Cricetulus griseus: one gene and its partners. The protein of the gene in region 1 purifies or fractionates together with the protein of each later gene. This does not show direct contact. Links are inferred from orthologs where the notes say so. Each region holds a gene or a part of one and is shown in the gene's direction. Other genes may lie near its edges. The genes, in order: Txn, Cops5 and Aifm1.

Evidence for each region.
Region 2: the proteins of Txn (region 1) and Cops5 purify together in Homo sapiens (affinity purification with western blotting; 3 studies listed by BioGRID and IntAct, with this or other methods). This does not show direct contact. The link is inferred for Cricetulus griseus from reciprocal best matches to the Homo sapiens genes TXN and COPS5.
Region 3: the proteins of Txn (region 1) and Aifm1 purify together in Homo sapiens (affinity purification with mass spectrometry; 3 studies listed by BioGRID and IntAct, with this or other methods). This does not show direct contact. The link is inferred for Cricetulus griseus from reciprocal best matches to the Homo sapiens genes TXN and AIFM1.

What each region holds. Positions count from the first base shown.
Region 1 is NC_048595.1:85,908,210-85,911,959, forward strand, and holds the start of Txn (thioredoxin), read left to right. Parts: upstream 1-1,547; 5' UTR 1,548-1,680; coding exon 1,681-1,704; intron 1,705-3,750. UniProt on the Homo sapiens protein: Participates in various redox reactions through the reversible oxidation of its active center dithiol to a disulfide and catalyzes dithiol-disulfide exchange reactions.
Region 2 is NC_048595.1:150,156,422-150,160,071, forward strand, and holds part of Cops5 (COP9 signalosome complex subunit 5), read left to right. Parts: intron 1-2,411; coding exon 2,412-2,560; intron 2,561-3,650. UniProt on the Homo sapiens protein: Probable protease subunit of the COP9 signalosome complex (CSN), a complex involved in various cellular and developmental processes.
Region 3 is NC_048604.1:20,981,627-20,985,276, forward strand, and holds part of Aifm1 (apoptosis-inducing factor 1, mitochondrial), read left to right. Parts: intron 1-1,282; coding exon 1,283-1,367; intron 1,368-2,199; coding exon 2,200-2,276; intron 2,277-3,112; coding exon 3,113-3,221; intron 3,222-3,650. UniProt on the Homo sapiens protein: Functions both as NADH oxidoreductase and as regulator of apoptosis.

The sequences.
Region 1 (3,750 bases):
GAGGGTCTATGGGGAAGTGTCAGTTAAGGGAGGGACCAGGTCCTACAGGTCACTGATTTCATGGCCTTGATAGACAGATTCACCAACTACTAAATAGCCAGGAAGCTGGAGTGTAGCTGGACTGAAAAGAACAGCTGAAAAGCATGTTATAGATTCTGTTCATCAGCTCAGGGGTCCTCTCTGCCTCAGCTGTCTTCAGAGGGAAGGCTACTGCCTTCAGGGCCGCACCCACCCTCAGTCTAGGGCTGGGTTCAGAATGTTCCGTCTTGTCCACATCCTCACTCATTACTTGCATTCCTCAGCCCTCCAAAAACTTCACACAACTGGTTCAAAAGTTCTGGTTTTCTTCTAGTTCTGAACAAAGGTGGTGGTGGTGGTAGGGGCACTGAGACAGGGACACGGTTTCACCATCTCCAGCTCTTCACCTCTGGATGCATATTTATCTAGATCTGCTCAGCTCTGAAAAGGCAGCCTTGGCAAACATCCTCCCAGCTTGCTGGCTCTGTCCAGTCTCCACCTCAGCTTCGGGCTGCACAAAGCCACCCTAACAATGTCTTAGCTTCCTCCTGCACATCACCCCAGTTATCATTGGCACACACTCTTCCTGGCGTCTCCCAAGGCAGAACAATTTCTGCAATGCATGTACACTGTCATTGTAAATACAAGGCAGCCAAATTCAGCAAGGCCGGCATGGCACCACGCAAGCTTAATTAGCGCTCACGATGACTATAATTAGAATCATTTATTGAGTGCTTCCTTATGTGCCCAGCGCTGTCCTCGTCAGTTTTCAAGCCCTTAAATCCTTCGAGACAACGCTGTGAACTAGACAATCCGATGTCCATTATGCCCGCATGCGCATGGGGCACAAAAAAAGGGCACTAAAGGACTCTGTCCCTCTCCAGTAGCAGGTTCACCCGCGAAAGTTAAAGAATAGGAAGGGGAGGGGGGAGAGAAGGGACAGGGAAATCTCCAGAAAGGAGGGGAAGGAGTGCACTGAGACACTTCCTAGTCATCGTTACTCAGCACTTTGAGGCGGAACCGCAGCATGGCCGCCCTGGTCGAAGGATACACTTCTGCCTGGGCAGTCCCCAGGCCCAGTCTGGAAGTATCTGACTTAGGTCTATTTGGGGCCTGGCCAATGTGATCCTAGAAGGACTCCAGATTGTGAGAGGGGACTATGAGCATCCTCCCTACGTAGTGCACAACGAAAATGCCCTTAGAGCAACTGGACGCACACTTACTTCCCTGTGTAAGCGCAGGGCGGTGTCTGGGAGCCCGAAGCTGCTCCAGGCGCCTGCGCTAGCCTCTCCCCCTGTAAACCAAGGCCAGCTTTCCGCCGCGCAGAGGGAGGAGACATGGGCGGGGCCATCACTAGGGAAGTACCGGAGCTGCTCTAGTAGCCGGCTGTGGCTCCGCCCCCTGGAAACCTGATTTCCGCTCCACCTCTTGGAGGCGTGGCTTAGGTGTGGCCTGCCGAGGCGGCTTGGCGGGCGCGGGAGGCCAGGGAGCGCGTCCCCGCTGCACGCGCCCGCCCGCCCCGCCCCGCCCCGCCGTGCTCCGCCCTGTCGCTATAAAGAGAAGGCGGGCGCCTCGATCCGCCGCAAGATCCGTCAGGCATCTCGGATCCGCTTCCATCCGATCCTACAGAAACTCGTGTGGTTCCTCCCCGCGACAGCCAAAATGGTGAAGCTGATCGAGAGCAAGGTACGCGTGCCCGGACGACGCGCGCACCCCGCCGTGTGCTGTGTTGGTCGCCTTCTGTATCCCCGTGGTGAGCGGCCCGGGGCCTGTGCGCGCCCTGGGCTTGTAGAGCACGCCTGGGGGAGGGGACGGGGAGACCCTGGAACGCCGGGTACCGGAGGTGCACCGCTGGCGGCACCTGGGTTCCCCGATCTGGGTTCCTGCAGCCTCCAGCCTTCTCCTTACCGCCAGCTCTAATCTGGCGGAGGTGAAACGATGGAGGGGGTCCTTGGGTGAACCCCCGTCTGAACCAGGATTCGGAGTCTCAGGGAAGAAATGAGAGCCGCCACTCCTCGCGTGTACACTGTCATACACAACGCGGGGTGTCCTGTGCCTCAGGGCTAGGCCGGAGTTTGCCTCCATCAGTGGTCCACTGCCTAGAGAACCAGTGCCCGGTCGGTGCACGGGGGCCGGTACCTATTGGAGACCCTCGGGCAGGTGCTCCAGGTAACTACTAGGAAGGAGAAAGGTCCAGGCCCCGCCTGTGGGACTCCTCCTCCTCCTGCAGCTCAGGGCGTGTTTCCGGCAGCGCTAGCTTTGGAATGACTCAGTCCCCAATGTCTGGGCCCAGGGGCCTCACTACGCTAAGATTTCAGTGATTCACCCGCTGTAAGTGGGCTTTGCTGGAACCAGGGCTCTGTTCCTCCCAGGGAGTAGTCCACTACAAAGTCCAGGTTTTGCCATTTGGGAAAAGAAAAAAATACCTAAGGGAAAAACTGTTGCCATATTTGAAAGTTACTGAGAACCAAAATATCCTCCAGATTGGGAAAGTCAGAGCCTGTTACACTGTAACTACTCGGGGAATATTTGTAAAGTGGAAAGTGAAAGGGGCGGTGGTGGGAATTGATGTTTGGAAGACTCTCACAAGGTAACCTAGTTAACTTGTTAACCTAGCTAACTAGGGGAGCCCAAGGAAGGCAGACCCACGCCTCCAGTTATGAGCTGTTCGGGCCTGGTTGGGTGGGTCTCAGTACATGAGTTTGCTCAGAATCCACCCACTATCAGTCGTTTTCGACCCAGCACCCAGTTAGGTCCTTACCTGTTTAAACTGTCTTACTTATGGGACCTTTGCCATTCCAGTAGAAAAGGTGTGCATTGGGGACAGGAAACCAGTTATTCATAAAAACCTTGGGCCCCAAAGGCCTATTAACAAGGCTCTGATCAGAGTCGCCCCGAATCAGAGATTAATTGAATACACCTAGGGTTATACTGGTGGGCTTAAGTTGATTGGTTTAACCATGTGTTTCTGAGGACTGTATGGACTGTACGGTTAGTTAAGGGTCCCTGATTCCAGACAGGAGTGGGATGATGGGCTAAAAAATCAACAGTTGGTTTGCTTTGTTTATTTTTAAGACTAAAACTATTTATTGAACTACACACAAGGCATGCTGCTCAGTGCTTTACAGACTATGTTAGACCAGGGTGTTGGCTCATGGCTCTCAGCACTCAGGAGGCTGAGGCAGGAGGATCACCACCTTCCTGTCCTGGGCTACAGAGTGAAACCGGTCTCAAAAAGCAAAGAACACTTTGTATTGCTACCTTTGGGCTGGTTTTGTGTTTGGGGCCTTTTGTTTTGCTTTCTTTTCCGTTTACGTATAGGGGTGGGGCATTCACTTGTGGTGGTCAGAGGACAGCTTGGGAGGGTTGGTTCACTTCTGTCTTGGGGATCCTGGGTATTGAACTCAGTTCTCCTTTTTGTGGCAAGCACCTTAATCTGCTGAGTCACATTGCCAGCCCCTGAGCTAGGAATATTTGAGAAGAGGGATCAAAGCAACTGCTTCTAACTACTCCAACTGTTTTCTTCAGATCATCGGTGTCAGTGATGGAACCATTTCCTAATTGTGATGGATTATTAGTTTCTGAAGCTAAAATTTGTGATTTGCTTCTTAGACAATTTTGAATACTCTTCAAGCCAGTTCAGGCAAGTTTACACATCTGGAGAAGAGATCTTATTTGTGAAGTTTACACATCTCTGTAACTCATATTCACTGAAGCCAGAAATTAGGGTTG
Region 2 (3,650 bases), about 64 Mb from region 1:
AGGCATGTTTCCTGTGTTTGCTCAGCTTTGCTTAGATCACATATTCATCCATAAGACATGTCATGGGGCAGAGCAACAAATTTGATGAGTGACTGGGCCAAGGCAAGGGCTAACTGCTGGGCTGGTGTGAAAACAACTCTTTGAGGAGCATGGGGATTAAGCTGGAGAAGGAGGTCGTGGAAATCAATTTGATGATAAATACCAGGCAAAGAAAGGCATTAACTCAGTGTGTCCTGATACATCATTTAAAATCTAATGTGCTTATTACATGGATATATATTTAATAGGTACATATTTAAAACTTAGGGCAGCTTTTGTTTCCTGTGGTCCTGGCTGGCCTTGCAGTTGCTGTGTAGCCAAGGATGACCTTGAACTTCTTTCTGTCCCCACCCTCTCTGAGTGCTGGGATTATAGGCATGTGCTTCACATCCAGTTTTAGTGTCTGAGCCTTGGTGTAAAATGTTGGCAGTGACACTGTAAGTATTACTAAGTACACTAAGGTACTTTACATAAGTCATAACAAAGTTAGCAAGTGCCTGGCTTACAATGAAGTCTGGATGAATAATTACTAGTGTTTTGTTTGGTGCATTATATTCTTGGAAAGACTCCCTTGGCCCTATTTATTTTAAATATAATTTTGACAAGATCTGTATTACTAGAAGTAGCAGAATTAAAAAGAGAGCAGGCTGGGCACAGTGGCGTGTGTCTATAATGCCAGTCTTTGTGATTTGAGAGGTTGAGTCAAGAGGATCAGGAGTTCCAGGTCTTCCTCACCACGCTGAAAGCTAAAGGCCAGCCTGGGCCACATGGGGCCATCTTGTTTTAAACAAAAATAAAGGAGGAAAGCAATCATACTAGAAAATATTATGTATCCCGTGTGCCAAGCACTGCTAAGTGTCTTATGTATGTTGTTCCCTTAGAGACAAATATATTTATAGTCAGAAGTGACACCTGGTGGCAGGGAGAGAAAACTCTAAGACAATAGCAATAAAGGCAGTTGAATATACCTGCTTAGTCCTGTGACTGACTTTCCCTGTATTCCAGCATTGCAATATGAGGACATGAATAGTTGGGATGAGTGTAAATTATTAAGTGCCTTTACTACTAAGCTGACTCACCAGCCTGATACAGGGCCTTGCCTTATATATAGCCTTGACTAGCCTGGAACTCATACTATAGTCAAGACTGCCTTGATTACATTTATAGTTGCCAGTTTTAGATTAAAACTAAAAAGACATCTCATAGCAGCTTTTTAAAAATATTACAGTTAGCCCTTGCTAACATAGTGGTATATGCCTGTAATCAAGCCTGAGTCATTTGACACCCTGTCTCAAAACAAATAAAATGAGAATATTACAATTAAGCCTGGAGGTGTAATTTGGTGATTTGTAAAATACATACATATTTGGAAATGGTATGTGTAATAGATCCTCAAATGTAGGTATGAATGAGGACATATTGCAATACTCTGATAAGAACAGTCACAAAACTAGCTAATAATTATTAAGCCTTTCTTAGGTGCCCTGGACAGTCCTAGAGTTTTAAGGTGGAAATCATTGCCACCTACTTCCATTTTTAAGAGTTCCAGGAGGCGTGGTCCAGGCATTCCTCATAGCCTTCATAATGACAAAACTTGATTTAAGCAAAGGAAAAAATAACACATTTAATCTTGAAATTAGGTTCTAAAATTTTAAAATCAAATTGGTAGATTTTAGGAGCAGTTTTTATAGCTATGACCTAACTTCTTCACTGTCTATCCATCTTTACATTATTTAGATATAGAATGTTAAATTAATTTACATAAAAATTAGTGGATTTTGTCAGGCATGGTGGCGCATGCCTTTGATCCCAGCACCGGGAGATAGAGGCAGAGGGAATCCCTAAATTAGAGGCCAGCTTGGTCTACACAGCAAGTTCCAGAACAGCCAGGGCTACAGAGAAACCCTGTCTCAAAAAGAAAAAAAAAATTGGGTTTTTAGCCAGGTATGGTGGTACACACCTTTATTCCCAACACTAGGAATCAGAGGCAGGCAGATCTCTGTGAGTTCAAGGCTAGTCTGGTTTACATAGTAAGTTCCAGGACAGCCAGCGCTTTGTAGTGAGAGACTCTGTCTCAAAAATAAAAGCAAGTGTGTGGGGGAGTGGGTAGAATCTTGGGCAGTGGGGGTGTGGGGCTGGACAGAATGGGTGGTATACCTATAGTTCCAGCTCCTCAATAGAGTAAGGCCAACTTGGGCAACTAACAAGACCCTGTCTCAAAACAAATACAAAGGCTTGAGAGTATAATGCTGTAGTGGAGTGCTTGCTTATATCTACATGTCCCTGAAGGCAGGCTTAGCCCTGGAAAAAAAACAGAATATTTTCATGATGAGCCTATGCTGTGAAATGACATGACACCATTTTCTCCACAGAATGCAGACTATACCACTGGCCAGGTGTTTGATTTGTCTGAAAAGTTAGAGCAGTCAGAAGCCCAGCTGGGACGAGGGAGTTTCATGTTGGGTTTAGAAACACACGATCGGAAATCAGAAGACAAACTTGCCAAAGCTACTAGAGACAGGTAAGTGTTCATGTGCAGGTCCTGCCCTACTCTTCTCTCAAAATTTACAGGAAGTAAATCCTGATCCTGTGGTTCAGTCAGCTACAACTTGGGAAATGCCTGAGTATTATCACACTTTCAAATTTTAGGGGACATAAGGCAAAATAGAAAGCTCAACTCAAAGATCTAGGAATACCATAGCCACATGGTGTACAAGGAAAGCTGGCCCCTGACTAGATCTTTTTTCAGGGGAAGGGCTTCCAAAAGCATGCTTACCCTTTTCCTCGACTAAACATTTTCTGAAGAATTAACATTTCTTAAATTTGCCAAATTTCAGATTCCAGAATATTGTGGAAAAGATTCTCTCTTAAGTCGTTCTTTCTGCACTTTAGTATCTCATGTTTTACTTGCTAATTATTTCCTTGGGATGTGGTCTCTGATAACTTAGATGAGAATGTGACCATTGATGACAGAATGTACGGGTTGAAAACACTAACATTTACTGCCACAAAACCTCAAGTTTTAATCTGATACTGGCAGAAGAGAGAATATTTGGGCAGTTATAAGCTGGTTTGTTTGGTGGAGGGCGGGGGCTGTCTTCCCTCAGTTCATAGCATATTTCCACTCTTGGGATGTTTTTTTTTTTCCTTTTTCATAAGCTGTTTCTACTCCTTGCCAAACTTGAAAAGCAGAGCCTTCCTCCATCTCCTGGTGTCTGCCAGGATTTCCACCTGTACTGTGTTTTTCTCTTTAACACTAATGAAGTTGTCTTTGAGCATAAAGCAAACAAACAAAAGCACTGTTCTGTAGGGAGAAGGGAGGGGAAGGTGAAGTTTATCCTGCCACTGGAGTTAGAAGTACCTCATTCAGCTCATCCTGGTGGAGAAAGTGGCTCAGTGGCTCAGCACTTCAGCACTTCCCTGTCGGGCATAGGGCTCTGGTCCATCCCTGGCACCAAAAACCAAAACAAGAAACATGCCTTCTTTCAGAAGGTGCAGTGGCCACACATTGGCTTTGGCTGTCTCAGTGTGTGAACTCATGAATGTGTCTGCATTTGTTTTCAGTGCTGGGCATGGCACTGTGGCCTTGCTGCTGCTCTACCCTTGTCATA
Region 3 (3,650 bases), on another chromosome or scaffold:
CGCAGGTATTTCTTGATGGGATGGTCTCATAACTAGTAAAGAATGGAGCAGATACTGAAAACTAATCTCTCAGACTCCAAAGCTCAAGCTCTTAACTCTAAGTAGAGACAAGGGAATTAAGAGTATTGACAGGAGAGCCATTTGAATGATCTACTATTGATCCAGATCATTTGGAATGGAATTGCCAACCGAATAAACAGAAAATTGGAAGAAGTACAGTGAGGCTGGGCTGAAGATGCAGTTTCATGGTACAGTGCTTGTCCAGCATAACCACAGCCCTACTCACATTCTCCACACTTGAACAAACAAAACAGAAAAGGAGGAGTAAGTAACAGTGGGAAGAAGGCACTGACGCTAAGCTTGTGTGTGTGTGTGTGTGTGGTGAGTTCTTTAATCCCAGTGCTCAAGAGGCAGAGTCAAGTGGATCTCTGTGAATTTGAGGCCAGCCTGTTCCTAGAAAGTTCCTATCACACACACAAAAAAACAATGAGCCTGAGAGAAAATTGTGGTAAGATATCTGAGGTAGAAGTAGCAGTTTAGGAAATAATAAGAGTGTCAATGTGGCCCAGAGGAAAATAGGAACCAAGATCCAAGGTCCTTAGAGATAAGGAAGTGGTTTATTAACGGTGATGTAAAGGGATGTAGGTAGGTATCACTCGGAGGATGAAGGTATAAGACTCTAGAAACATCGGAAACAACCATCTCAGGAACCGTGGACGATTGGAACACTTCTTCCTGGCCTTGTGATATGGGGTGTGGTCAAATTAACTGTCTCTAAGTATAACATCCCTGAGGGATAGCTGAGTTTCAGTGAAGACTAGAAGTTGGAGAAAGATTCTACAGAGATGTTGTGAGTATAGTAGAGTTGTTAGCAAAGAAATAATGACTCCAAATTCCAAAATAGAAAAGACTTTCTCCAGTGTCTGTTTCTATAAATCAGAATGGTTGTTTGGGAATCCACTTGATACAAGCTTCGGTTGCTTAAAGAAACAGGGTCCCAAAAACTATGGTCCTAATAACTAATTAGAAACAGTTTCTTCAGGATAATTTTTCAGTCAAAAACTAATTCTTCTCATTGAGTTGACAACATAGGTTCAGAGCCCCACACCCCCCACCCCCCCACCCAACCCCCTGTGGCATGAAATGTTCTAGAATTAGATAGTGGTAAATAAACTTAAAAAAACAATGAATTTGTACTTTAAAATGGTGACTATTATATCATAGTAGTTTTTCGTAACTTACTCATTTCTACTTTTTGTATGTTTGCATGTGACTATACCAGGTAGTACAGTTGGATGTAAGAGACAACATGGTGAAACTTAATGATGGCTCTAAGATAACTTTTGAAAAATGCTTGATTGCAACAGGTGAGTATTTCTGGAGGTGGCTGTCTTCCCTTTAGAGTCTGGCCTTCTCTTGAAAAGATATTGCAGCTTATCCTTAAGACAACTGATACCCAGAGTCTCTGGTGTAGATGTCTGGTTAATTTGGGTGTGTAATGTTTTTACCTATTTGCAATTTTTATAATACATTTTATTAAAAAATAATCCTCTGGTAACGACCTGAGGAAGCTGCTCCTTTTTCCTCTGTGCATGGTATTCAGTACCTAGTCTGAAGGATATGTAGCTTTGTGGGTTTATTGCCAATTCTCATCCAAAATTAGGGGAGAAGACAAGCAGCTAATGAGAGTGGTGTAACCGTGCTAGCATGTGAGGCCTCCTGAGACTCTGGAGCTACTGTGGCAGGTGGGCGTAGTAGCTCTTATCCTAGCACTCAGGAGTCTGAGGCAGAAGGATCAAAGCAGACTTGATGCTACCTGGGATCCATAGTGAGTTCTGGGCCAACTTGGTGGACATAGTAAGACCCACTCAGAAAATTGACAGAGACAGACAGACACACACCATGGAAAAAGGAACTGAGCTTTCTGATTTGACCAGCCATGGAGAAGGCATGGTCCTCCGAAAAGAGACTCAGATGTATTTCTTCAAGGAAATTGATAAGAAGCCTGCTGTGAGGCAAGCCATCTTACCTGCTAGTCACTCCTTGGTAGTGTTTGCAGCAGCCACAGCCACCACCACCACCGCTGCTGCTGTGACACCAAGTATACTTAGCCACAGTCAAAGCAAAGAGAGATCTACCTGTAGGTGTTGTTTGGGCTAGCTCCTGCTTGTCAGGCTAAAAGGGCTTTCCTATTTCCAGGAGGCACTCCAAGAAGTCTGTCTGCCATTGATAGGGCTGGAGCAGAGGTGAAGAGCAGAACAACACTTTTCAGAAAGGTAAATTGCTTTAGTGTTTTCTTTGTGTTGTTTTGAAGAGGTAACACGCTTTTGTGTTCCCCGAGTGCTTCCTCCAATTGGGAGATCTAAGTTCTCTATAGAGCTCTTCTCCAGACTTGTTATCTAGCTTTGAGCAAGTCACTTCTCCCTGCACCTCTAATACTTCATTCACTCACATTCACTCAAGGGTTCTATGCTTGTAGGACAAAACTACATTTGGTTTTTATTGCTTGCTGTAGTTCTCTGACTACTCTTCTGCAGTATTTGATCCACCAGAACTCCTTGTGGTCTCTTGGCATTTTTCATTATGAGTGCTTTGTGAAGACTTTGATGCAAAAGGTCAAGAGTATCTAAGTACAAAGGAAAGGAGATTGTTTGCTTCTTAACAGTATGCCTTGCTGGAATTTTCTAGCCACACTTCGAGATATTGGAGGAAGTTTATACTGCCTTTTAAATTCTCAATTGTTGGGCTGAAATTTCTTTGTGTGGGAGGCTGTCTTTTGCTTTGTAAGATGTTGGCAGCATCACTGGCTTCTCTTCCACTAGAGGCCAGGAGCATCTTGTTCTGACAGCCAAAATGTCTCTAGATACTGCCACATGGCCACCTTGGACTGGGAAGAAAAACTACTACCAGTGTTGACAGCCACTGTTGCTGGAAGGAATGTTACAATGGAGAAAAAATTCACATTAATAATATAGATGCTGTAATTGACCACTTTGAACAAGATGCTATTTGCAAATATCTGATGCAGCTGAGTTAGAGGAAAATATTTTCTTGGATTATTTTCTTGTGCCCCTTTGGGAAATCAGTGAATTAAACTGGTATGATCCTGCAGATTGGAGACTTTAGAGCCTTGGAGAAGATCTCACGGGAAGTCAAGTCAATTACAGTTATCGGTGGGGGCTTCCTTGGCAGTGAACTGGCCTGTGCTCTTGGCAGAAAATGTGAGTATGGAGAACTTTCCTCCATTTTCTTTAGTCATATATCGCATGTCTTGGTGCACTATCACAAATTCCAGAAATATATTTTCCAGGAGGAATTCAAGGAGTTTGAACAGTGTTTATGGACTGAGTCTGGGCTTGTTGGCACATGCTTATAATTCCAGCATTCTGAAGGCAGTAGCAGGAAAATTTTGAGTCAGATTCTAGACTGGATTGCACAGTAGATTCAAGACTAGCCTAGGGCTATAAAGCAAAAAGTGCTCCCTTATCTCAGTCCTCCCTGCAAAACGAAGTGTATAGAACAAAAAGCTAAGTACTAAGGTCAGGACAAGAATTTCTGTTTAGTTGGGTTTCTTTTTTTCTTTTCTCTTTTGGTTTTTGAGACAGGGTTTCTCTGTAGCTTTGGAGGCTGTCCTGGAACTTCCTCAGTAG